Linked DNA regions of Mytilus edulis. The protein of the gene in region 2 purifies or fractionates together with the protein of the main gene of each other region. This does not show direct contact. Links are inferred from orthologs where the notes say so. Each region holds a gene or a part of one and is shown on either strand. Other genes may lie near its edges. The genes, in order: SWI/SNF-related matrix-associated actin-dependent regulator of chromatin subfamily B member 1-A-like, importin subunit alpha-1-like, CTD small phosphatase-like protein 3 and GTP-binding nuclear protein Ran.

Evidence for each region.
Region 1: the proteins of importin subunit alpha-1-like (region 2) and SWI/SNF-related matrix-associated actin-dependent regulator of chromatin subfamily B member 1-A-like purify together in Homo sapiens (affinity purification with mass spectrometry; 3 studies listed by BioGRID and IntAct, with this or other methods). This does not show direct contact. The link is inferred for Mytilus edulis from reciprocal best matches to the Homo sapiens genes KPNA2 and SMARCB1.
Region 3: the proteins of importin subunit alpha-1-like (region 2) and CTD small phosphatase-like protein 3 purify together in Homo sapiens (affinity purification with mass spectrometry; 4 studies listed by BioGRID and IntAct, with this or other methods). This does not show direct contact. The link is inferred for Mytilus edulis from reciprocal best matches to the Homo sapiens genes KPNA2 and CTDSPL2.
Region 4: the proteins of importin subunit alpha-1-like (region 2) and GTP-binding nuclear protein Ran purify together in Homo sapiens (affinity purification with mass spectrometry; 3 studies listed by BioGRID and IntAct, with this or other methods). This does not show direct contact. The link is inferred for Mytilus edulis from reciprocal best matches to the Homo sapiens genes KPNA2 and RAN.

What each region holds. Positions count from the first base shown.
Region 1 is NC_092349.1:8,148,390-8,155,449, forward strand, and holds the start of SWI/SNF-related matrix-associated actin-dependent regulator of chromatin subfamily B member 1-A-like, read left to right. Parts: upstream 1-4,030; 5' UTR 4,031-4,065; coding exon 4,066-4,161; intron 4,162-7,060.
Region 2 is NC_092353.1:13,692,792-13,700,138, forward strand, and holds the start of importin subunit alpha-1-like, read right to left. Parts: upstream 3,017-7,347; 5' UTR 3,005-3,016; intron 1-3,004. Other genes in the region: uncharacterized protein, read left to right, coding at 6,473-6,664, 7,105-7,264.
Region 3 is NC_092354.1:12,255,955-12,262,786, forward strand, and holds the start of CTD small phosphatase-like protein 3, read right to left. Parts: upstream 3,017-6,832; 5' UTR 2,913-3,016; intron 1-2,912. UniProt on the Homo sapiens protein: Probable phosphatase.
Region 4 is NC_092349.1:64,093,777-64,101,262, forward strand, and holds the start of GTP-binding nuclear protein Ran, read right to left. Parts: upstream 3,025-7,486; 5' UTR 2,946-3,024; intron 2,854-2,945; exon of another isoform or gene 2,547-2,853; intron 2,043-2,546; exon of another isoform or gene 1,710-2,042; intron 1-1,709. Other genes in the region: syntaxin-like, read left to right, coding at 3,159-3,191, 5,295-5,375, 6,487-6,586. UniProt on the Homo sapiens protein: GTPase involved in nucleocytoplasmic transport, participating both to the import and the export from the nucleus of proteins and RNAs. Switches between a cytoplasmic GDP- and a nuclear GTP-bound state by nucleotide exchange and GTP hydrolysis.

The DNA.
Region 1 (7,060 bases), on a different chromosome or scaffold from region 2:
CGGGACCTTCAGAACTTGTCCAAGGCCATATTCACAATATTTTACCATTCACGGCCGGTACCGTAATAGGGTGATGTGTTTTGTAAACTGTCTAATGACTGATCGCAGTATTGGTGACTATAGACATATTTTAGAAACACTGAAAGTCAAAATTCGACAAATCACACGGCACAGATGGCGCCCAAGAAAAGTCATCTGTGATTTTGAGCTCGCATTGATATCAGCAGTAGAAATTAACTGAGCTTCCACGCGCTCAAATTAGTGGTTGCTATTTTCACTTCAATCAGAGTTTGTGGCGAAAAGTCCAGAACTTAGGTCTTGCGGCAAGTTACCGACGACGACCAGCAGTAAAAAGCCTAGTCCGTAAAGTTATGGCCATTGGATACCTATCAATTGCTGTTGTGCGCCAGAAATTTCGTTTGTTGAGAACATCCCGTAGAACTCAGAGACTCTGCAGGCGGTATAATGGACTAAGGGACTTTCTTGACTACTTCGAAAGGAACTATTTGAACGGGTTGTTCCCTCCCCAGATGTGAAATGTTTATGAAAGAGATATGAACAACAGAACAAACAACAGCGTTGAAAGTAAGTGTTATCTGTTTATTTCAAAAGTTAATCTGACGAGAAAAAGGTCTCAATTTAATAAACTTCACATTCAGAATATTTTTTACTTAAAACGATTTAGATTTAAATTTTCGCTTGGTATATATATAAATGCACTTATACAGTTAAACTGATATGAAGGGGTTCGGGGGGCTTTAGTATAAGGTTAAAAATTTCGTAATTTTATTTAATACACAATTTTTCGTTTATTCTTTAATTATTAAACATTCTTTTTCTAAAATAGTGGAGACCATTTTACCCCCCCCCCTTTTCCGGCTACCGAAGGTGTTAAATGATTTGATTTATTATGTATAAAATCACGTCAGTACAAGTATGTATAGCTGTAGCGTTTGCTTCTCCGTTCCATATTACGAATTTGGTTTTATGTTTAAGAAAATCTTAAAAAATATGAACATAAGTGCCACCAATACGTCTATATAAACATAAGAATATGTGATATGGTTGCAAACGGGACAACTCTATCTAAAACCTAATTAGGTAGTAAATTTAAGCAATTTAAGCCTTGACTCACACAGCAAAGTAAACTTTCAAGGGCTACAAAATGACAAGTGTAAAACAGTCATGTCAAACACAAAGACGTATTTAATTATGTATCACATATTTTTACTTGATATTAATAACACTGTTTCGGTTAGACACCCTTCTTTGTGGACTTTCATAAAGACCAACAAGCAACTTTGGAGAACTCCGTGGAGGCTGTCGATAGGGTATAGGGCGATCCAGCGCCGAAAAGAAAAAGAAAATGGCGAAATCTAGAAGCACGGATGATGAGATTGAAAGAGGAATATAATAATGGAACGAGAAATTTAGACCAATACTGGAACGCAGTGTGCTATGGAGTGGTTCAGTTTTGACACTTTGTTGTATTTTCTTTAAACATTGTGTAAATTTAAAAGTGAACTTTTTGATAAAACTATTTAGTTATGAAAACTACTGAATTTTTGCTGACAATTTGTGATATTTTTCAAAGATAAATAATTCCAAATTTGATTAAAGTGTTTTGCATATTTGATGAATGAAATGCATCACCAACAAATGCAAAAAAAAGAAGCACACACAGATTAGTAACACATTCTTCTTCTAATGCAAATACAAGAACTAAATGCCGTTACCCCCCCCCCCCCCCCCCCCAAAAGCAAAGAACAAAAGAAATGTTTGCGGTAACGCTATACCACTAAATTACACCAGGAAACGGACTAATTGGTACTGTATGTTTTTATTGTGTAATTTTTATCAAATCATTTGATTTATATTATAATTATTAAATGTTTATTTGGCCTATATCAATTTGATGATTTTGGTCGTTTTCAACTGATTTTTATCGTGCTTACACCACTGCTGTCTGAGGGAATCTTGGATCCAGAAAAAATGTTTAACCCGGCTGTGGATGAAATGAAAGACGATATGAAACCTGGGGATATTACTATCGATACAAATATTCACACTAATGCTTTTTATCGTTCTTTTTCAAAGATTTTCAGAAAATTGTGCTCTTTATATGCGACGTCATCAGGCAAGGTCGCCTTTTTTCATGACGTCACAATAGGAAAATTGAGAAGAAAACAAAACATTTTGACACAATTTTCTGAAAATCTTTGAAAAAGAACGATAAAAAGCATTAGTGTGAATATTTGTAAAACTAAAGTGATGGTTTTTAGCAAGAGAAAATCGAAAATGGATTTTGATTTTAAACTTGATGGTACATCTCTTGAAATTGTAGATAGCTATACATATCTTGGTCTTTTGCTTAATTATAATGGGTCATTTGTTTGTGCAAAGAAAAAGCTTGTAGAACAGTCGCAAAAAGCACTTTTTGCTGTTTATACAAAGATTAGAAATTTACATTTACAACTTAAATTGTTTGATTATCTTGTCGAACCTATTTTATTGTATGGATCAGAAATATGGGGATTTGAAAACATTGATATAATTGAAAAAGTTCATCTACAATTTTGCAAGAGAATTTTAAATGTGAGATCAAGTACTCCAAATGTCATGGTATATGGAGAATTAGGAAGGTTTCCACTAGAAATTAAAGTAAAATTAAGAATGTTATCGTTTTGGAGTAGAATGGCTAAAAATGAAAACAAACTTAGTAGTTCTATGTATAAGCTTATTTTCAAATTACATGCTGATGGTATTTGTGAATTTAAATGGGTGTCATTTGTAAAATCTATATTTGACAACTCAGGATTAGGTTATATGTTTTTTCAACCAATACATTGATTATTCAACTTTCAAACCCGTTATAAAACAGATTCTTCAAGATCAGTTTCTTCAAAAGTGGTCCAGTAATATTGATAACTCGTCTCGTGGCGAATATTATAAGTTATTTAAATCTCAGTTTGGTCTGGAAAATTATCTATTACGTCTTCCAGAGGATAAAAGAATCTGGATTTCAAAACAGGATTAGGGAAAAAATATTCTTGAGATACACAATTTATATATATCAAAAGTATTCATGGAACATGTGGAATACAACATTATACATGATAATACGAAATACGAGAGGAGAATGATTATACTTTTTCTGTTTAAATTTGACGACATTTTTAAAAGGATATATATAAAATGACAATTATGCTTCAATTTTAAAAAGATAAAAGATATGATAACATTTAGGAAAGGGCCCTTGTTAATTTGCAAATAAACGGCACAATTACGATGGTTAAACAATGTTTGAGGTAGTGGGCTTAATTTCTACAGAAGAATAAAACATAAATCAACTTACCAGTTTCACAAAGACGATGCTGCCAGTTGTCACATGTGTCACATTGAAGAGCATCTTGTCGAATCGTAACCGTCTTCTTGAACATTACAACGTGGACGAACCATGATTGCAATTGAAGATGATCATACATTTCACCATAGTTTATATATTTTTTCTCAAAGCTTGATTTTTACAACGTTTAAGCCATGCATTTTCTTTTCGGTGAGGATGGTGATTGTTTAAGTATAACTCAATGGCCTTTGATGTTCATAGTGCCGCACTCATACCGAATTTTTGTTTTCATTTACTTCTCTATGTTTATTCTACTTTTAACAAATCCATTCTATTTTTGTAGGTATGTTATCCACTAATGAGCACTGATTAGTATATTGTGTACTCATAATTATTTTAATGTGCATATCAAATGAATTGCCGTCTAAACAATTTCAAACAATCAATTCTAAGGAATACTAATGATTATAACGATTAGCATTTGATAAGCTTATTTAAAACAATTATAATTGCATTTTATTAACAATGAAAAGTTTATTTATATGTTGCTATATAATGATATATACGAAAGAAAGTTACAATAACTATGCATATAAACATGATAAATAATATCAAATAAAGCATGGGTAAGAGTTGGTAAAAATAGGGTACGAGTTGCCGAAAGTACGAGTTGTCGTGTACCCGACTAAAAAATCTAAACTGAGTGGTCTCCCTTTGCCATGGCGTCAAATATGTTTGGGACAAAGACATTTGGTGAAAAACCTCAAAAGTTTCAGATAGAGGAAGGCGAAGAATATTATTATGTCGGATCAGAAGTATGAAATTACATGTTGTTAAAGATCTCAGTCGAGAAAATTTCAGATTTAGTGTAAAAAAATCGTTTTTCTATCGAGAATCGTAGAGTACCCATGGCATAATTTATTTCTGTAACTGTTAGTGTTACTAAATTTGTGGCCTTCCTTATCTAAATTTCATTTATGGTTAGAGTTCGTTTAAGGGTAGGCATTTTGTCAGGGTTAGCACCCGTTAGACCCAAATTTGAATATTCTTGTTCTGTTTGTGACCCTCTGACACACAACCAATCCGTATGCAAAATTGAGATGGTCCAACAACAAGCTGCTCAGTATGTCTGCAAAACCAACATGAGTAGTGTTACAAACATGCTCACAACATGGAATTTACCATCACTAGCAGAATGGAATGTAAACTACACATAAGATTAGTTATGATGTACAAAAATCATGTTGCAATACAATGAGTTCGTGGTCTAGTGGTTAAGACCGATGGCTACAGTGCTGAAGGTCCATAGTTCGATTCTCACTCGGGGCGCTAAAAATATCAGTACGTCAGAAGGGTAATTTTCACCCTCTCACACACATCACTGGTACCCAGACCGGAGTTTAAACTAAAATGGGTACTTTGGGGGCCTCGGTTGGTCAAAGTTGTTCCCTGCTTGACTTCGAGATCAATCTTCTGATATCTCTCTGGTTTGTCTGTTTCCACCGAGTGGCCCGGTGGTTCTCTCCGAGTACTTCGGCTTCTTCCACCATAATAACAGACTTCCTGGTGTCCTAGCACTCCCTCGGTGTTGGATGGGGATTGAGTTGTCCTTGTAAAAATAATTGTCGTATAAATTATACGTTAGTGACACATCTCCATTAATCCCGATAGGGAGTGTACATGGATGCCACTGTACCCTCACATGTAAACCAGTCAGGGGACTTACTGAAATAAGTGATTTTTAAATCACTTATTTGAGTAGCAAATTCGAGGTTTTGTCACAAATTGGGATTATGTAGTTTTTTCAAAATTTGAAACACATAGGTTTAAATAATATCTTTTAATTAGTAAAATTTAAAAAAAATGAACTTTTTGCTTCTTTTAAGTAGCAAGGTTTATGCCTTTGATGCTATCATTTAGCTGAAAATTCTATTTTAGTTGAAAAAATGCTATAATAATGGCTTTACATAATGAACTGATACTTTCTTAAAAGATTTTTCCCAGCAGTGGGAGTATTTTTCCTGTGAAGTTCAAGGTTTCATCTTTCAGATTATGTAATAAAATTCTACTGTTCGCAATAAAAATTTCACTGTTTGGGGATGTTTAAATTAGTGGGGGTTATTAAAAGAATGATACTTAAAGAAGTGATTTTTGGGAAGGAAATTGAGGTCTGATACTTAAACAAGTGATTTTTATGTCATTATCCTAGATTCAGGACAAGGTCATCACCTGAAATGACCTGGTCATCCTAGACAACACAGATGTTGGTTCTGATAAGTTTAGAAACATAATTAGTCCCTGGATCATTAGTATTCTATATTTAAAGCTACAATAAAATTAAATCACTTCTTCTAGTGATTAATTTGTACTACTTAAATAGGTGATTATTAAAGAAAGACAACTCTAACTTCCAATCTTTATGGAAATAATGTTACTTGAATCAGTGATTTAGAAAATCATTTATTTAAGTAAGTTCCCTGACTGTAAACATGTAGAACATGCCTCATATCATAATTTCTCTTGCTGAGTTGCTGAGATTATATTAATGCTGTAAATAAACAAAACAGAGAACAGCTAAAGTGAGCTGTTCCCTGATGCTTTCAATGGATTGTGCCTGAACCAGTACCAGAGGGAGATCGTTCCACTGTGGTATTGTCATGAACTGAAATTATGAACATCTGTACAAGTATTTTGATGTATGAATATGCCTATATGAAAGTGGATGTTTTTTTTTCTAGTTCTTGGGTCTGCTTTTATGGGGGTTGCCCGGATATTCCGACACCCTGTTAGTCTGATGGAATACACCTTATTGCTTTTCCAACTTGACAATAGAGTGAGTCCCGCTTGAACATGTTGAACTTTTGACATCATACAAACAACCATTTTTTTCATTGTGGCATCAGATATTTCCTATAATGACATCTAAACTTTATGGGAACTAGTGTGAAGTCGAGAAATAAACGTATTTAAACTTTTGGTATTTAGCTGTATCTTGCCTCCGAATGACCTTAGATCGACTCAGAATCACCTTTTGACATCAAGCAACAATTACTTTATTTCAAATTGTGACGTCAAATATTTTAAATTATGATGTCAAAGTTTATTGGAACCTGTGTGATTTTACGTAATGGTGGACAAATTCATTTTGCATACAAGTGTAAATATGTCTATGGCGGACAAATAGCAATAAGGTGTATGTATGTATGTACTGGTAAATGCCTCCGATATCCGAAGAATCGAGGGGTTCTTCGGATATCGGAGGCATTTACCAGTACATACATACATACACCTTATTATGGAAAGCCAACGGGGTCAAAATTCTTAATTCGTAACTTGTCAATTCGTAACCGTTGTAACTGTGTAATTTCTAAATTGTTAATTCGTAAATTGTTAATTTGTAACTTGTTACTGTGAAATTCATAATGCTTAATTCGTAAATTGTCAATTTGTAACTTGCACCTTTGTAGTTTCAACATTCTTAATCGGTAAATTGTCAGTTTGTTACTTGTAACTGTGCAATTTCATAATGCTTCATTCGTAAATTGTCGATTTGTAACTTGTATCTTTGTATCAAAATTCAACATTCTTCATTAATTGTCAATTTGTAACCTGTAGATTTCAAAATTCTTTATTCATGTTATTGGTAAATTGTCTTTTTGTATATTGATGTTTTGTAACTTGTAACATGTGACTTGTCGATTCGTGAATTGTCGA
Region 2 (7,347 bases):
GTATGGATCACATTTCCGACCTTACATTGATTACGTGCTACGTGTACAATGTTTCGAGTTCTTTCGGAATTATATTCCAGGTAACTCTCTTCAGAGGTCGTCCTTTTTATTTTCTAAATGTTTGTTTGTTTATTATTTTGTACATTTTATTTATTATTGTACCTTTTATTTATTATTGTTCGTTTTATCAGCGTATGGATAACTGGTTTTGGTTATTAGATTTAGTTTAAGATATGTTTCAATATGCATTTTTCATTGTCAACGCACCTTCCTTTGGTTTTAGTGTAACTGTCTAATTAATTTCTATTGGGAGACATTGATTTATTTCAAGTGTTTCTTAACGATTTCCCCAATGTTCCTGTTTCTTTTGAATGCTATTGTAGGTTTTTTATCAAAGAGATTTTTGAACTGTGGGTTGTCTTGAATTAAATGCCAATGTTTTCTTATAATGGTTTGTAAATTTTCCGCATTAGCGTGGTATTGTGTTATGAAAGATATATTATAGTTATCTGTGTTTTTGTTTATGCTTGTTTCTTGGTTTGTTAATTTGTTTAATCTTTCTGTATGGGAAATATTTCTTAATATTTTATTTACAAAAGCGATTTTGTAACCTCTTTGTATTAATTTTTCTGTAAATAAGTTTATTCTTTCATTAAAATTGTCAGGATCAGAGGTATTTCTAAGAATTCGTGTTCCTTCACCTTTAATAAAGGATTTAAAACAACTTTTAGCGTGGTTAGAATTTTGGTGTATATATTGGAATTTTTCAGTTGGTTTTGTGAAACATTTAATATCTAAGATATTTTCTTTTTGAAATCTCTGTCCTTTATACGTTTCTAAGTCTAGAAATTTCAAACTTTGTCTGTCAATTTCATAAGTAAATTGCAGTAGGTTGTGGTTTGTGTTTGCTATTTCGAAAAGAAGTTTAACTTCTTCCGTAGTACCTTGAAATAAAATATATCCATCATCTTTCATACGTTTATGAAATAATATTTTGTTTTTGTGTGGAAAGATGTTTAGAATTTTATTTATATGTTGGTATATAGCTATATCTGAGATTTGAGGACTTGCTACATGGCCTTGGCTAGCTCCTATAATTTGCCTATAACATTTTTTGTTAAAGGTAAATTCGTTATTAAGGAGAATTAAGTTTGCATAAATTATAGGTATATTGATCCAATATCCACCCATTTATAGTATGGATCACATTTCCGACCTTTCGTCTACTCGAAAAATCAAAGATAGAAACTGATACTTTACTGGTGACTTATGATATCACATCCCTTTACACAAATCTAAGATTTAGCGAAATTATTGCCGCTCTAAACAGTGTTACAGGGATATATGAAAACCTAGAATATAACATAATAAAACCCAGTTTTGACTATTTACTACAAATAACAAACTTAATTCTCCTTAATAACGAATTTACCTTTAACAAAAAATGTTATAGGCAAATTATAGGAGCTAGCCAAGGCCATATAGCAAGTCCTCAAATCTCAGATATAGCTATATACCAACATATAAATAAAATTCTAAACATCTTTCCACACAAAAACAAAATATTATTTCATAAACGTATGAAAGATGATGGATATATTTTATTTCAAGGTACTACGGAAGAAGTTAAACTTCTTTTCGAAATAGCAAACACAAACCACAACCTACTGCAATTTACTTATGAAATTGACAGACAAAGTTTGAAATTTCTAGACTTAGAAACGTATAAAGGACAGAGATTTCAAAAAGAAAATATCTTAGATATTAAATGTTTCACAAAACCAACTGAAAAATTCCAATATATACACCAAAATTCTAACCACGCTAAAAGTTGTTTTAAATCCTTTATTAAAGGTGAAGGAATACGAATTCTTAGAAATACCTCTGATCCTGACAATTTTAATGAAAGAATAAACTTATTTACAGAAAAATTAATACAAAGAGGTTACAAAATCGCTTTTGTAAATAAAATATTAAGAAATATTTCCCATACAGAAAGATTAAACAAATTAACAAACCAAGAAACAAGCATAAACAAAAACACAGATAACTATAATATATCTTTCATAACACAATACCACGCTAATGCGGAAAATTTACAAACCATTATAAGAAAACATTGGCATTTAATTCAAGACAACCCACAGTTCAAAAATCTCTTTGATAAAAAACCTACAATAGCATTCAAAAGAAACAGGAACATTGGGGAAATCGTTAAGAAACACTTGAAATAAATCAATGTCTCCCAATAGAAATTAATTAGACAGTTACACTAAAACCAAAGGAAGGTGCGTTGACAATGAAAAATGCATATTGAAACGTATCTTAAACTAAATCTAATAACCAAAACCAGTTATCCATACGCTGATAAAACGAACAAAAATAAATAAAAGGTACAATAATAAATAAAATGTACAAAATAATAAATAAACAAACATTTAGAAAATAAAAATAAAACGGACGACCTCTGAAGAGAGTTACCTGGAATATAATTCCGAAAGAACTCGAAACATTGTACACGTAGCACGTAATCAATGTAAGGTCGGAAATGTGATCCATACTATAAACGGGTGGATATTGGATCAATATACCTATAATTTGTTTTGTTCAATGAAAAGACAGGCATTTGTTCTGTCAAGGGGAGGGGGAGTGGTACTATACACACTTGTACGAACACAAATAATGCATGTAGGAATGGCCATGTTTTCTTTTTTTTTATGTTGCCGTAGTGGGGGGAAAGGGGGGGGGGGGTGTAGTTATATAGAAATTGACTTTCTGTCCTACATAATGTAGGACAGAAAGTCGCAGGACAAAAAGTTCAAACACTTTATAGATTTTGATGAACATTTTCTTGCCACCGAAGATGGTGAAGTAAACAAACACTTGAGTTTTCTTTGATACAGTCCACTCATTTACACTATTTAAATCACCTTTGTTGTGAGTAGATTTCTATTGTCCATTTCAATTAATATGATACAATACAATCATTACCTGAGGTTACTATCTCAAAGATTTCACATGACTTTGTTTATTTTTACACTACATGTACCTGTGGAAAGAAATGAAATTTTTTAGCCATGTTAGCAAAATCCACAAAAGTTTATTTCATTTTAAAATAGAAAATGAATACAACTTCTATGTATCTAGGTGCTGCCAGGCTTTAAATCCTTGTCCGCTGTATGCCCTTTTGCACTTACATCTAAAAATTGGTTTGCCTTAACCAAATGTTATGAAAATAATACACATGGTTTACTACCACAAACACGGATAAAGATTCAATTTTAGTGGCGTCACTTAAGGTTCTTGGCTGCATTTTCACCCCAAATTTACTCCGAGTACAGACAGACCTGTGACCTGGAACAGTTTTAAGGCATAGCATGCCCTAGATAAATATAATTCAAATGCATTGTATGATTTAGAAAATCCATAATTTAAATGGAATTTGCAGTGCACTTTGTTTCGTCCCTGCAGAAGATGATAAAATTAACAAACAGTTGAGTTTTCCTTGATATGGTCCACTCAGGTACACAGTTTAAATGACCAATTATTGTTAGGTATCTACTGTCCATGTCAATCAATACAGCTCACTTCAATTATTACCTGTTGGGAAGTTCTCAAACCTCTTTCCCAACTTAGTTTATTTTGGCACCTTCTCGAGGAATGAAAAAAAGTGCACTGCAAAATCCAGTTAAGTTTTTATTTTTCTAAACCATAATACATATTTGAAATTTATTTATCTAGGGCATGCTATGCCTTAAAACTTTTACAGATGCACAGGTTTGTCTGTACTCAGAATAAAATTTTGAAGTGAAAATTAAAAATAATTTATTTCTGTTCTACAACTTTTATAATTTGCCTTAATTAAATGCTAACATGAGGCAGGCATTACCTGTAAAGGGGATGAAGTCTGTATGAATTATTTTTTTAATTCAAACATGTTAAAAAAAAAAGAAATGGAAGTACAGTGACGTTTCCGATTTTGGTTTTGTTATTAGGGATTTTAGTTGTGAAGTTGTTTAAGTTATGACGTCATATTCAATGTAAACAATGAAACGCTAGGGTAACCTTTTTTCATAACAAACAATTTTTAAAAGTGAATTACAATGTAGTATTGAATTCCTTTCTATATATATTTTACTAGACTGATTAATATATATTTTATTCAAAGTCTCAGGCAAACAAGACGGGAAAAGGGAGTAGATTTCTGTGCAGATGCGGGGATTTAAAAAACTGAAAAAAAATTAACGATTTTGAGTTCATTAGTAAAATGAAAAATTCGGGAAATTTTCCTGATTTTTATTTTTTGATTTTTTTACTGTAACATGTGTAATACATTTAATGTAATAGGTGACATCGTCCCCATATTAAACTTATAGATACGATACTTGTTACCTCATATTACAGATCAAGTTTGCATTTTGGTGATGTAAACCTTCCTAGAGTTATGCCCCTTAACAAATGTAAAAAATGCTGATTTTTTCGATTCCATTCTCTAGCATTAATAAGCCTAAACTAAATGTGATGAAACTTTAACACAATTGCTTATAACCACAAAATACAGATCAAGTTTGAATATTCAGGGTTTTTACTCTTATTGTTCTAGAGTTATGTTCCTTTACAAAATTATAAAAAAATGCTGAATTTTTCGTTTCCATTCTCTAACTTAAGTTTGCCTTAACCAAATTTTATGAAGTTTACACATCATACTTGTTACCACAAAACTCAGATCAAGCACACATTTGGGGAGTGTCACTTTTACAGTCTATCAGTTATGTCCCTTTATAACTTAATATGATATACAAGAGGGATCATGTGTGCCCCATGAGCACATTCCCCATGTATTTTAACATATTTTAAAGATATATATACATTGTATGTCTGAGAAAGGTTCTGATTTAAATAGTACTGGCTAAGAATGAAATCCAAATTTCTTAGTACAGTTGCCAAAATCGGCAGGAATTCAGCCAAATTTAACATCAGGAAACATAGAGGGCAGCTGTCGACAACATAAATATTCAAGTTAGACATGTAATAGTCATTACAAACATTATTGTCAAAGATCTTTTTTTACAAATGTATGGGCTATATGCATGATATGTTTCCTGTCCAAATATTCAACAGCAATTTACCCATTTTCATTGTTTTTGTGTGGAAAATCAAAATGAGTACTATCATTTGACTATTTTTGACGTCATTAATAATACGCAGTAATGTAAATCTGTGACTACAGTCAAGGGTCTAATTAAATAAGTTATCAGAGAAAAATAATATGCCTACATGTGTACATTTTGTACATGTATGTCATTGTATGTTATTACAGAAACTTTCATGAGTTGTCTACTCGTTTTTCCTTAATCTGTAAACTAAGCTTAGTTATTACAAGCATGTAACTTACTATATGAGAGTAAATGAGACACTTGGAATCTTAAACAGTGCCTCATTACAAGCTCTGATCATCATTTCTTACAATGAATTGAAAAACATTGTTATGCATGTCAGAGCAAAGCCTTTAAAGAGATATAGAGAAGCTGTAATAACACCCCTTGGTTATTGCAGGAATATATTTTCAGTAATAACATAGGTGTACTATGCATGATTGGTAAACTATGAGCTGTTATATCTTTGCAAAGATTAGTATACATGAAGAAAATTATAATATCAATAGAACTTAAGAAAAAATTAACAAAATATTAAGGTTGTATACATTGTATTTTCCCTTTGAAACATGTAACATACATATGTTATCACAGGTTTTTGATAATTTAGCCCACAATACATGTAACAACATGTATGTTATTCTCTCTAATAACTTATCTAAGTTAGACCCTTGACTGGACTAAAAGAAGTATTTTCTATCTAGTAAAATTGAGAATGGAAATGGGGAATGTGTCAAAGAGACAACAACCCGACCATAGAACAGACAACAGCAGAAGGTCACCAACAGGTCTTCAATGCAGCGAGAAATTCCTGCACCCAGAGGTGTCCTTCCGCTGGCCTCTAAACAAATATATACATATATATACTAATTCAGTGATAATGAACACCATACTCCAAATTGTACACAAGAAACTAAAATACAGTCACTGTATTATCTATTAATCATTGTAATATTGGTAAATAAATCCCAATTTGATATTTAGACTTAAAAAGGGGGCCATTTAAAGGCCTTATCGACCTACTCCTTTGCTCAGGTAATTTAAAACAAACAATTAGCATTATTATTTATGAGACAAAGTAGTTATTTTCAGTTTGTCTGCATTTAAATTTCAATAATCTTGATAATCTAACTGGATTATAGTAATATAGTGAGAAAGTAGAGAAGCACTAAACATGACTAAAAGGAAAAAATATTTCAGGAATAAATACTCCACAATTGAAAATAAGAGAACATACATGTATATAGTACAAGTCCGCCTCAAACATGGAGAAGAATGCATGTCTAGTATTTGTTTATTTCTGTAATCCATTTTAGTTTATAAACTGCTTAACAAAGATGCCAAAAAGGAAACTTGGAGAAGAAGTTGAACCTGATTCAGCTTCAAAGAGTAAATCAAAGAAAACAACTCCCAAAAGCAGTAAAGAAAAGCCATTAAACAAACAAGAATCTTCATCTAAAAAGAAGAACTATCCCAAAAATATTGATGAAGCTACAAATGTAGAAAAGGTAATTATCAGTACATGTCTCTTCTTATCTATTTTTATGTGCAATATTTTTCCCATCTGAAACTTTTTTGATATTTATTCTCTCATTGAAGTAGAGTGAGAATGTGATGACAGTCATTATAGGCCTTACATCGTTGGGTAAAGATATATAAAATCAAAATTTAAAAAAAGAACTACTGTGCATTTATTATAACTCGCTAGATACAAATTTTCCTGGGTACAGGCGAACCATGAATTTAAATGTTTAACGTATTATAAACTTTGTTTTGGCTTGTAATGCAGAGATTGGCAAATTGACATTTCAGTTTGTTCATGTTGTTTGTAATACTTTTTTTATTAGCTGATAAATTTCTTTACCCCCATTTTTTTTTGCTGATGTCTACTCTCACACACCTAAATGTAAATATAGTAAATAAATCTTCAACAATGAATGTTTTTCAGAGCTTTGAATTCACTGCAAAGTTACCAACTCGTAACAAAAAGGGGGAGCTAGTGTTTGAAGATGTTCCAGAACTACGACCAAATATGACGCCCAAAGAAGTTCTTCAAGCTGGAAGTTTTGGTGGCACATATTTCAGACCAATAAAGTCATCAGCTACAGGTTATTTTAACATGTTTAATGCACTTATTAAATATTTTAGCACACTTAAGTCTTTTGATGATCATCATTTCAAAGACATCACT
Region 3 (6,832 bases), on a different chromosome or scaffold from region 2:
AGTGTGCAATAACTATGGTTATTTCTGTTTTCCCTTATTACCAATTACATAATCTATGCCTTTACAACAGAATATCTTGAAACTTACCAAACATTTTAACACTTAACCTGTGAACATTAAATTTGGACATACTAAGTCACATACACTATAGAAGGGTGTGTTGGCATGACAAAAATTGATTGGCTGATAAGATTTGACCCGAACCAAACAAACTGTTAAATTCTCAGTACAATATAGATCCTTATCTTTCGATGCATAGACACTTTTTTTCATCTTTATGATTTACCAAATATTAATTCATGGGCACTTTGATCATTGGAATTAACAAAAGAACAATTTTTAAATGAGTTGTACATTGTAAGTGTACACTGCAGTGATGTCACTAAGTTTTGAAGAAGCAGGCTGAATTTCTAAAATAGGCGGCAAGTACATGCGGACGGCGAAGCGGTTCGCATCGACGAGCTTGCTCGTCGCTACTACGGCGGGGGGTCTGGGGCCTGCTCAAGGGCCCCAGGATTTTTTTTTAAAATGGTGCAAAATCCTGCATTCTGGGGGTGTCCTAGACCCTTATTCAGACCTCTGAAAACATCATTTTTTACTGAAGATAATGTAAATGATTAACTAAAATTAGCAACATGATGGGAAAATTTTCTGTACATGTGATCACATCATTGATCATCTTGATGGACCAATATACATTTTTGTGCATTTTCCTGCAGGTTGACTGCTAGTAAATATTTTTGAACTGAAAGAATCCAAAAATCTTAGTTTGAATAGAAACATATTGTCTCTGGTTTGAATTGTCACTTGAATAATTTAGTTTTAAATGAAAATTGTAATTGTGACATTGAGAACATTGTTTTAATTTTATATTAAAAAAGTGTTGGTTTTGTTTTTACAAAATTAAAAAACAATATTCACTGACTAGTAGTCAGCTGGAGCTTCGATTTCAAAGTTAAAACTGTTACAGAGGTGCTATATTTTATAAAATCGTATGCTATCCCAAGGACGTATAACTAACATAATATACGTCCTTGGCTATCCCCAAAAAGATTTGAAAATTTAGACTAAAATTCCTGCATTCTGATCATACATTTTGTACCTGAGAGTGATTTAGATGCTTGGGAAAATGTTAATTTTGTCTTATTTTTGTTGTTGACTTCAATCACATTGATTTTTTTTTTAAATGAGAATCCGTAGTCCTGGCAAGGCTAATCTATATTATATTTTTTTCTGGGAAGGTGTCTTTTGTAAGACAACTAAGGAAGTCTGTTCTTGAATATATGTAAATAATACACAGGCAAGTGCCTGTGAAATAATAGATTATAATTTTATTTCAAAAATAATCGAATTTATTAAATATCTTGATCGATTTATTTGCGTACGTACTTAGTGACAAATGACCCCCTTTTTTCTCATATAAGACTTGTACACGTATTTCAAACATGTTGTCAAGCTATGATATATATGATATATTAATTTCCATAACATGCTATTGTCATCTTTGGCTTATTCCTTCTCTTGAAGCAAAAACCAAACAGGGTCATAATGTCCATCTCTCTTTTTATCCTTGCAAACATTACAATACTTACCGACTTTAAATAGACGACCAATCAGCGGACTGCATTTACGTGAACTATATTTAAAGGTAAACACTGATTTACATCCTTGTTTATCGCGACTTTAATCGTGGAAGCTGATGCATTGAACAATTATTTTTTAATATTAACCTGATTATCTTTTTTATCTTATTAATTTTTTTTACTCATGCAAAAATAGCCGGCGGGAAAAGGACAATAACCGGCGAAAATCGCCGGCTGCCAGCTTCTAACGACATCACTGCACTGTTGAGTAATTATAGAGGTGGCAATACCTCATGTTAACCTGTTTTAGCCTTTTTAAAGGTGCTGTTAACTGATATCCAAGATAACTTTAAACTGTTTTCAACCAAATGTGTTAACTGTAATCAGCATTTTTTTCTTTTGTTGTCGACTGTTTTTGCCAAAATCGAGGTGTTGTTATAATGTTAACATGTTAATGAACCCCCTATTGCCCCCATGTAAAATAGCCAATACTTTCTTAGGTCTTCAATCAGAGCTAAAACATTTGCATATTGACAATAATTCTTTACTGATGTAAAAACAGTTCCTCTACTCTAGCATCTAACAGGAAATATTGATAAACCTCATAAGACATTAAAATGTAGGTCAATTTTCATAATTGTATCTCAAGTCATAATTGGAAAACATTGTATACTGTTGTAAAATATTTCATGTTAAATGATAACACTGACCCAATTCTTAGAGCTCAGCTGACAAACTTTATTTGGGAAGAAAAATGTGAAAGATGTCTTGTTTACCCAAAACAAACCAAGTTGAACATAGCCCTGATCTAAGACAATATAAATATTATACACACATGGCATTGTCAGTTTATTTTGTATTTTTTAAATTCTTCAAAATTTTAACATCCGAAGTTGTAAACATTTCATCACAAGAGAACACAAAATGTCAACATTACAACACATGAGAGAAATTGGGTCAAACCAGATGACGTCATCTCGTGGACGATCAATACAAATTTTCAAAGCTGAGAAACTGCGGTTCCCCCGACATAATTTCTTCACCGACACTAACCTTTACATATAATCAGGCACATATGTACTGTGTATTAAATCATTCTCAAACACTTTAGTTGAAAATTAAAATCTACAAATGATTTAAAAGAACTCAAACATCAACTTTAATAATATTTCGGCCAAGGTCCCCAAACATGGCTTCTTGCCAAAAAGTGCAAAACTGATTCATATAATGAGATTGAAAGATGTCTGACAATTATATAATTTATAAAACGATAGTATTATTGTTATATAATGCAAATAATCATTGATCTAAGGCAGTCAATTATCTTACCATTTGATTTATTTTGTATTTTCCTTCGACATCATTTCGCGCGTAGGCCAAACGTCCCGGATGAGTAACCTGATTGCGCATGCGTTCTGTATCGTAAATATAAACAACAGCACGTGGTTTCGCTATTTAGACAGGTAATATTGAAAAGTGGGGCGCTGACTGACCTAAAAAAAAGGGGGGCCGCTCCAGTCATGCTTCAATGATTCCCTATATAATCAACCAAGGGGGGGGGGGGCGGGCCCCCAGGGCGACCCCTGGATCCGCCCATGAAGACGAAAGAGACATATTTATATTAATATTATCATCGACTCGATAATTCTAAGAACATGTTATTATATGATGCATATTTATGTAATAAAGAACTTCACAATAATAAAGTGAATACATGGTTTTCAAGTATAGACTATTTTAAAAAAGCTGGGCATACAAACATGTAATTTAAAAACCAGTATCTACTCTTTCACAAAATTTATCAAAGATAAGCTATATAAAAACTTACTATTTCCATTTCTGGAAGTAAAATAGAAATAAAGTTTTACAATCAGATCAAGGTAAACTTACTACCTATTTTTCCTTTAAAACTCTATTTTGTTTTGAAAAATATTTAGTTCTAAAAGATTTTAGATTAAGACAATCAATCTCTAAAATTAGAATAAGCGCTCATCCATTAAGCTGGGCCGGGTCACACATTCACGATTTTTACTGCCGTCCTTGACAGGACCATTCCCGATTAAAATTTGTCAAAAGTCTGATCAAGATCCTGTGAATCGTGGATGGAAATTCGATTTGTATCTTTCGCCAGGTAAAATTCGACCGAGTCTGTCACGACTGCGTCCCGATTCTACCGAATGTAATCCGACAGAGATCAGAAAGTGACAAGACAGTGAACCGACGCTGACGGAAGTTATCCGTTCGAAAACTGTCGGCATAATCGGGATGATCAGGTACTGTCGGAACGTAATCCTATCACGGTCCGCTCTATCGTATTGCAAACGGCTTTGTCTGGTCTCAGTCGTATTGTATTCTGTTATTGTCGGGACTTCTCCAGATCATTCCCGTTCCACAGGACACCGTCCCGAATACACTGAACATTGTTAGGAATTCGATCCGATACAGCAGAATCTGTCACGACATAGGCACGATTGTAATCCGACTAGACAAAATCGGCTGAGTTTCCCCGAATGTTACGGGACGCACCTAACTGTTGGGGTGCTTTGCCGAACTATTCGGACCCTTCCCGACCAGTAGGAATCTGTTACGAACTAAAACGACTGCGTTCAGACAATAATAGGACATTCCAGATAATTGAGGATACTAATCCGACTTTTTTACTTGTATCGCTGTCTGATCTCAAACGGGAGCAATAATCGACAATGTGTGAACCCCGCATTAAGGATTGAGACTGATAGATATGCCAAACTTTATGTGAATAGGACACTGAGAAAATGTTTATACTGTACTTTAAATAAAGTTGAAGATGAGATACACTTTGTAACTGAATGTCCACTATAAAATTGATAACAGAAATGAGTTTTTTACTGAAATTTCTCTAAATTGGAATAATTTTCAATCTTTAGACAATTTTTTCAAAGTTTTTATGGCTATTTACACAAGAAAATTTAAATGTGTATAAATGTTTAGGAAAGTATTTATCTAAAAATATAGAGATAAGGAGAAGTTCAAAAATAATAAATGCAAATGAGCCACAAATATACATATTTTGAGTGGTATATGATTTTAAATGGTATATTTTAAAGATGTAAATTGTATTATCTGGTTCTGTCCTAGCCTTTTATAGCATTTTTAATAGTATTAAACAATGTTGTTTTCTCATATTATATGTCTCTAATTTATGTCTAATCTTACGTACTTGAATGTAATGTCATGAAAGCTCTTTATAGGGACCTTTAATTGGAAATAAAATATTCTCATTCTTATTTTTATATGAGGGTCGTAATTCATGCAGAATCACGGTAAACATTCTTTCCAAATGACGTTAACGGTACTTTTTCAGTGGCGGATCCAAGGGGTTGGGGTGGGGTTGAAATCCCCCCCTTTTTTTGACGATCAATGCATTTGAATGGGGACATATACTTGGACTCCCCTTTTTTGTCCTCGGTTGGGACCCCCTTTTAAACTGGCTGGATCCGCCCGTTTTTAGTGCATGACGATAAAATGTACACTTTGAAAGTGTACATTTTATCGTCATGCACTAAAAACGCATTGAAGTTTCTTAAAGACGGGCGTAAAAAGATCAACTGATTTGAGGAATCACGTTAATTTGTTTCCAAATATAAAGTTAACGATGATTATTCAGGTCGGATCCAGCCATTTTGAAAAGGGGGGGTTCCAACTATATGTCCCCATTCAAATGCATTGATCGACCAAAAAAGGAAGGTTCCAACCCCGCCCCCCCCCCCTCCTTCTGGATCCGCCAATGATTATTTGAGACCTCTGATAAATCACAAGAAGGAGATTTTGACGAATGTCACGAATCACGATAAAATTTAAACCAATTTGACACTAACAGTAGCCGAACATGGCCGTTTAGCGTCTGACGGTATAAAGGGCATTACTACCCACATATAAACATGCATGTTTTTATCTGGTCATGATGGGAGAGATCCGTTTGCGCCAAAAATGCGTCCTTTTTCGTCACAACTTTTTTCTCTCCAATGCTACGTTTGCGCTACATGTTTTAAAATTACATGGTATCATTTCCGCCAAAAATAAAACATATGATTGTGCCAATTAGAAGAAAAATGACTTCCCTCCTCCTTTATTTGGGAATTGGAACCGGCTGTTTAAACCGGCAAATGTTTACTTTTCTGAAACATATCTTCTTCTTACTGCTGCTGCATGGGTATGTATCCTATTTAATTTATGTAGTAGCTTTATTGTAAATTCACTTTATTGTCCAAAAACACAAACATTGAAGGATGAAATGCATAAAACAGTTCGTAATAACTCCTAATAATATGAATGCCCATACGCGTCCATACGGAACAAAGCACTGTGTCATCAACATATGTTGCTAAAAGATCATTAGCTTGAAAAGCTTCTATTTTCTTCTCTATTGCCACATCTTTATCAAATATTCAGCAATGCAATAAATTTTATTCTCTTTCTGTACATTGACTGTCTACTGCATTTTAAGTCATTTCTCTACAGATGCTCATCTTCATAGTGAAATATCTCCGAACATATGATTCTTTTTAAGTCAAAAATAAGAATAAATATATATTAATCATTAATATTTATGATAGATATCTGTGCAGGTAAATTTTCGCAAATGAGTTTCGAATATTGGTGCAATTGATACATTTGAAAAACAAAATTTGGCGCAAATGATACCCTTGAAAAACAGTAATTGGCGCAAAAGGACTGCTGCCGTCATGATATATGTCTGAGTATTTTTTGCTGATTTTTAATTAAATAATATCGTTTAAAACGACTTTAATATCATCAATCTATGCATATGGTAATAATATTATAATAATTCAATTCAATATTTTATTATATAGGATATATGATAGTCTTTACAGATCATAACAAATTTTTGTTTTTTTTGTGTTTTTTTTTCACAACTGTAATCAACAAAATCAATGCTAATCATATGTATTTTATTTGTAATTGTAATTTGTATTAATTATGCTGCTCTTTATGGGCGTCTTGATTGACAAATAAAACTATTCTTATTCTTATTCTAATAAATAATGTATCATTGGTCTCGCATCTAAGACTGCCACATTATTTAAACTTTATAAATAGTACCTTGGTTTCAAATGATAGCTACAAGGTAGACAAAAACGGATGCCAAAGGAACATTCAAACTCAGAGTAGAAAATAAACTGACAACTGTCAACGTATTTTTGATCCACATAACAGAAGTTCAAATAGAAACTTTGTTATATAAAACA
Region 4 (7,486 bases), on a different chromosome or scaffold from region 2:
AATAAAAATTACTCTGTGTTTGTGTTTTATGTTAGAATTAGAGGGTTTTCAATTTCAAAATATTGGACATGGAATAGACATCATGACCTACTTTACTGACATCCAGCTTATTTGGAGTGGAATTTTGAAGTATTATTTATAAGTGGAGCCTAATAACATGGACTTATATTTTAATAAAAAGTCTTCTTTTGTGTTTTAATCATAACTTTAAGGCAGATTTTTATTGGTAAAGGCTAAAAAAGGTAATTTAATAATATTGTTGCTAACGTCACGTCTTTTCCGTCCATTGTGGTATGTCACGATCGCAATTTTCTTGTTAGTTCTCAGACAGCCCATTGTAGTTATTTTTATCCCGGGTTTTATAAATAATTGAAAATAGCAATCATATTAAATTTGGATGACGTAAGGGGGTCAAAGGACTTGAGGAATCAATATCATTGGCTGTTTTATTTTTTGCGAACGTTACTGTTCGAGGTTTCCGTCCAAATCAGTGTCACGTGAGCAACATATATTTATATCTGTAACTCTCCTGTATAGGAGTTACGATATCGCCCTTTGCAGAAATAGATTCGGAGTCAGTTCCTTCACATGATGGGGAAGCAAAGAAGGTAAGTTGTATGTAATATCTTTACAAGAGGACCTTAAATGTATTCCGTCCATCAAAAAGACGTTCGCAACAAAACATAATGTCTTGATAGTAGATGTTGCTAATGTTACTATTACGAATTGGTTTCTTGTGTATTCATTTGATATAAAGTACACCTGCAAATGACATTCTGTATATTTAGAAATTCTAAACCAGACTGTACAATTTTATTACTCCAGGCATATTTTAAACATCACTGTGTGCATACATTTTAACTTTTAAAGATGTTGTTGCTCATGTGACATGTCCAAATGTTGCTAACGTTACTAATTTTTTGGTTTCTTGTGTATTCATTTGATATAAAGTACACCTGCAAATGACATTCTGTATATTTAGAAATTCTAAACCAGACTGTACAATTTTATTACTCCAGGCATATATTAAACATCACTGTGTGCATACATTTAGGAGATAACTGTATTGTATTTTAAGCTCCGACGGCATCAATTGGGGATTTGATGGTCGCAAATTAAGTTTACTGGCGACGCGTTAGCGGAGACAGTAAACGGGTATTTGCGACCATCAAATCCCAAATTGATGCCGTCGGAGCTTAAAATACAATATTGTTATCTCCATTCTAATGAAACTGACAGAAAACAACGTTAAAACATGTATTTAAAATCTGTCATATGTCGTCTGCGCTTGCGCGTACGTCCCATAGCATCAATTGTCAATTGATGCCATGTAAGAAAGTGACGTTATCCAATGAAAATGAACGTTACAAACGTTGTTGCATTAGAATTTAACTTTTAAAGATGTTGTTGCTCATGTGACATGTCCAAATGTCGCTAACGTTACTCATTTTTGTCTCCGTCACATTAGCAACATGAAAGTAGGAGACAGAACACAATACTGTAAAATCTGCCTCATGTGCTTTTAAATACTCTGGCCTGCTTTTAATAAAAAAATCTTAGACCTAAAATTTACACCAAGTCATGAATAATGCAGTTTACTTAGATTAACACAGGCCTGCATAACAATATTTAATCCAGAGATGGTAGTAGCACATTAGTTTGATAAACTTGGATGACTATCAATATAACAGTTTTAAGAATTCACTTACTTTAACAAAGTCAGTTTTCACCACAACTTTTATGAACACCTAAGATGACCAGCAAGTTATTTTACTATCTATATTGTTGCATGTATATGTATACTGTACATGTATGTATGTATGTGCGTTGTGCAATATTTCTTTGAAAGTCAGTTAGAACCAGTTCTTTCCAAGATATAATTTTAAAATAGATATGATTTAATCGGATATGAGTCTGAGTTGTTTATATTAAAAAAATACATCATTATAGAAAACTATTTTCTATTCTAAGACTCTAAATCTGTATATCACTGTCTAGATCAATCAAGCTGTAAACACTAAACTGAAAGGAGATTCTGTCATCTCGAATCTAGAGGACCTTGACATTCAACATATTTAAGTGCTGATGAACTGTGTGGCATTACAATTTAATCATTACGATCTGTAGGTTCCCAGCATTAATCAACAATGACAATACAAGCTCTATCAATACATAGTACATATTACATCTAAGTTTCTTGTTTGTTTGCGCTTAACAATGTTTGAGGGGGCCTGTTTGAGGTGACATTTCTTAATATAAAATTATACAAGTGTCTCTAAAACAATAACAAAAAAAATATTGAAAGCTGGTCATTAACGGTTTGCTTACAACTCTATGGAATAAATCCAGTGTGTAATTGTAAGTTTATTCTATGTATTTACATATATTCTGAAATTACACCACCATAAAATTCCGCCAAATAAATGAATTTGACGCATCCTTATTTATTTATTCTAGAAGTGACTGCGGAAGTCTGATCGCCTATTAACTTCAGGTTGTCATACGCAATTAGTTTTGTATGATGAATATTAAGTTTCAATACTAACAGGAATTGTATATCTCTTTCCAGTCAACTTTACGTTTACAAGTTCAAGAATGACAAAGACGATCAGGTATATTGTTTGTGGTAACGAGTTGAAATGGAATTAATAAAAAATGAAGTGATAAAACATTAAAACATGCTGTTTTCTATACAAATAATTCATCAAAGGTGTAATTGAAATGATTTCTTTCATAGGATGACAGACGATTTTACCTGCTATGTCCCTCTTCAGTCAAGAAATGGCGCAAGAGATTTACCGGAAGGGGGGTTTAAACTGGTTTTGGCGGGTATTTGCCGTCACTTTAGATTATATAAACTACCAAAAATAGAGCTTATGCGATGGAAGATTTCTGTCCTTTGAAATATCTTTGAAAATTTAAATTCAACAACAAATATTATTTACCCGCTAAAAAAAATTCATTAAGTGCGACACAGCCGGAAGAAGGAAACCCCGCATGAACTTGCGCACTTGCTAGTGTTATGATGGTAGACGATATTAAAATTGTATCGATTTTCTTATGTATCATCGGAATTTGGAAGTAACATGTAACAATACATACAAAGACTACAGTGATCTTAATGAGTTGATGAAAATAGTATACACTTAAGTTGAAAAATGACCAAAGATCGTCTTGCGGCTTTAAAAGCGGTAAGAATTTAGCCGGCCAAGTTGGGACTGAGTCTGAGTTAACACTGATTTCTTACACCCCTCCCCCTTTAGTTGTTATTGCTTTAAATGCTTAACAGACATTGACCATGCATGTAAATTAAACCAGTATTAATTGTAAAATTTGGCAATAATGGACAAAGAAAAATGGGGAATCCGACACTGTGACAGACATGCATGTAAAGTACTGCAATATATATTATATATTTACCAGCATGTTTATTGTTCCAGCATTATTGTATATGGCCTTCTTTTGCGTTAGCAGTGGCGGATCCAGGGGTTGGAACCCCCCTTTTTTTGGCCGATCAATGCATTTGAATGGGGACATATAGTTGGAATAGTTGGAACCCCCCCCCCCCCTCTGTTGTCCTGGGTTGGGAACACCCCCTTTTTAAAATGGCTGGATCCGCCACTGCTTAGGGGTGTGAATCCTAATAGGTCTATTCTTAAATTTTTTTTTAACCTAACCAGAATGTAAAAAAAAACTTAGCTTCCTGTAAACTGAACACGAAATTTATGTTGCACACTGCCTATAAAACTAATAGACTAAAAGTAGGCCTATTAATATAATCACCAGAGTGCCTGAGTCAAATTATTTACACTTTACTACAGATTTCGACTCATAATCTGGAAGAAGACACCCTTATCTGTATTGACTGGTGGAAAACATTCTGATCATAACTCTGCATTAGTTTAATACTGCATTGTTCAACTGCTCTTTTTTATATCGCTCCATTATTATTGTACATAATGTATCTGAATTTTCCTGTATAGAGCTTGCAACTTACTACAGGAAGCTGAACTTTTTCACCAACTTGTCTACTCATATTTTCCAATTTTGATAAAATCATGTTGAAAAGGGTTGAGTTGGAAGGAGTAAATTTAAAAGGATTTAATCCATATATTAGTTTAGTGAGGCATGCTGGTAAACATAAGGGCTGATAGTTTTAGAAAGTGGGGTGAAGTAGTAAACAAAAATGGGGCGATTTGGCCATGTTGGCAGTGGGGCAAGTTGTCTTGATTCCATCTAGGAGTTTTTGCCTTCTTGGTGGTAATGTAAGAAGTGTTTAATATTGTAGGTAAATACAAATACTAATTTGGCACAGATTACTTTAAATACAAATGTATCCATACATACAAATATTAAATTAAAATTATTCTACTGACAAACATGATAAATGACTGACAAACTTATATTTCCTGCACATACTAGTACTGTTAATACATTGTTAGTTGAATAAATTGAGATGTGTGGTACATGTAACTAAATCAGCACTAAATACAGTCTTCACGCTGAGTGGCAACCCAGGCTTGTAAAATTGCTCTTGGGCCTGTAGAAATCATATTTACCGGCCAACAGAATCTAACTAAAAATTTTCAAAAAATAAGCTAGGGGCCTGTAGATTTTACAGTTCATCGTGAAGACTGTAAACACAAATATATAAAAACTTATTGATGGCATTTTAGGATCTACAACAATAGACAGTTTTCTGTACAATACAATACAATGTAGTACATGTACATGCATGTACAAATATATGTCAAGCTTTAATTGCCTGAGTAGAAATACATTTTATTTCATATGTTTGTTAAAAAAATACAAATATATGTGTTAAGGGTTTCCTTTACTGATTTTAATTTTGTGTTGGCACTCAATATTAGGGTCAGTAAACATAGTTACTAAAGGAAACCCTCAACACATATATATATATTCATGCCTGGGGAGAATGCTGATTAATGGATAAATGTTGATGTACCAAATTGATACGAAAATATATTGTACATGCAGATTAGCCACATGAATTGTTTCTTTGATTCACATTAGAAATTAATTTGTTTACGCAGTCTGGGTCCTGAGCCACAAGTCTAATGCCCCAGACTAGTAAAGTTTTATTCAGACTAGTAAGCTTTTATGACACACAAGAAAAATGTTGGATATTGGTTTTCGAACTAGAAGTCGTCGGTAAATGGAAAGATTTAAGTGCAGACTGATGCTGATCACTATATATAATATAAATACAAATGTACACTCAAACCATACCAAATTATATGAAAATGTTAATGTAGTTGTTTGTCTTATTTTAGGCACAGAGTGATGATGATGACGCAGACGATGTGGCTGTCAATGTTGACACTGGAGGTTTCATGGACATGTTCTTTGAACAGGTATAAACTTTCATTTATTTATGTAAAAATATTTCTTTTTGGCATTTATTGCTCAGACTAGTATGATTTTATTGCAACATAAACAGTAAGCATGTTGAGGTGGCCACACTGGTGCAGTGTATCCCAAACTCCATCTGACCGACAAAATGTCAGACAAAAAATCATTCGGTCACACAGAACTTTTAAGATTTTTTGGTTGAATATACATGTATATAGAAGAAAAATTGAATTTCTCTTTTGGTCAGACAAACCCTAAAACAGTTTTGCACAGACTGTTGGTGTATTTAGAAAAACAAACCTCAAAAATTTCAACATTTTTATAAACATAATGTAAAATTACCAAGTGCTGAACCTGCTCCTTAAACACTTTGAAATGGCATGATTCACAATGGCGTTAACTGTATCAGAAACTGAAAGCTGCAAAAAAGTATGATCAATATACACATCTAACATTGTTGGCTTGATGTTTAGACGAGTTGTATATACATAATGTACACAGCCATGTATCACCATCACTGCTGGTGATCCGATGGATAAATCTGTTGTAGAGTTGTCACTGGTTCAGACGTACATATACAAAAATGTATATACAACATCTTAAAAATTTCAAAACACTTTTATATTGAAATCATTTATTGATGCTTTATATGGGTTACTGCCCCTAATGAAAATACCAATTTATGAATGTATTTGCTTAAATTAACTTCTTCCAGCAGTTTTTTGTTAATGGTAATATCAATATGGTATATATAAAAAAAAAGAGACTTCTTTAAGCCTGCAGATAACATATTGCTGTTGTAATTTCTCAATTTTAAAATATATTGAGTTTTCATAGGATACTGGTTCTGTCAAAACTAGAATAAATGTTTTTAGTCCTGTAAAATAAGAAAATTTATGGGACCAAATTTAAAAGTTAAACAACATTTGAGACAGAGAATTAAATGTCCTTTGAAATTTTGTTCCTACAAGTTACTGTTGATATTTTACTGGATTGGTAACACCAAAGAATTGAAGGGATAATTCACAGTATGTCTATTTTGTTTAATATTTTAGCTCAAGTTTTTTGTTTTTTTTGTTTTGTTTTTATTAAATTTTATATTAAAATTTGTAGGTGGAGGAGATCCGGGGGATGATAGATAAAATATCAGCTAATGTGGAAGATGTGAAGAAAAAACATAGTATGATTTTAATGGCACCACAAAATGATGATAGTAAGTTATTAAACACTTTTTTTACAAATATACAAACTTAATTACAAAGTGTGTAGCAATTATTTCCCTGAATTAGTATACATTTGTACATTTTACATGATTGTTTGAGGATCAGCTGAAGCCCAGCTCCATGTGTGAGATTTTTATGCTGTGTTGAAGACCCATTGGTGGCCTTCGGCAGTTTTATGCTCTTTGGTTGGGTTGTTGTCTGGTTTACACATTTCCTGTTTCCATTTTGAATTCTAATTGTGGGCTCTACTATCTTTCGAAAAATGTTATTTCATATATAATTTGATAAATGTGTATAAAGCAAAGAAATATGAGCAAGAAATTGTGGTAAAGATCTAATGGTGATGAAAGTGTTTGATATTGATGCCATTTGATAGCGCATGATTTCTTATACCTAAGTCCATGACAGTAAGAAGGCATCATGTTTTCTGGTCTGTGTGTGTCTGTTAGTTCTTCCAATATCATTGTAAATGATCATCAGTGTATATACCAAATAAAACTGCTATTGTGTATACTTCAATGAAATTTGTTAAGATAACTGATAATGGTGGTTTACCATCTTGATTTGTGACATAATTAAAAGCTTGCATGTCTCGAAATCTCAATTCAATAACTTGATGAGGGGAAAACCTCAGAATGTTGTGGTGTAAATTGTAAAACCTAAAATATTCTGGAGCTTGGTCATATTTGATGGTAAATTCCCCAAATATTCAGGAGCTTGGTCATATTTGATGGTAAATTCCCCAAATATTCAGGAGCTTGGTCATATTTGATGGTGAATTCCCCAAATATTCAGGAGCTTGGTCATATTGGTGGGGAAAGCCCTCAATATTTAGGAGCTTGGTCATATTGGTGGGGAAAGCCCTCAATATTTAGGAGCTTGGTCATATT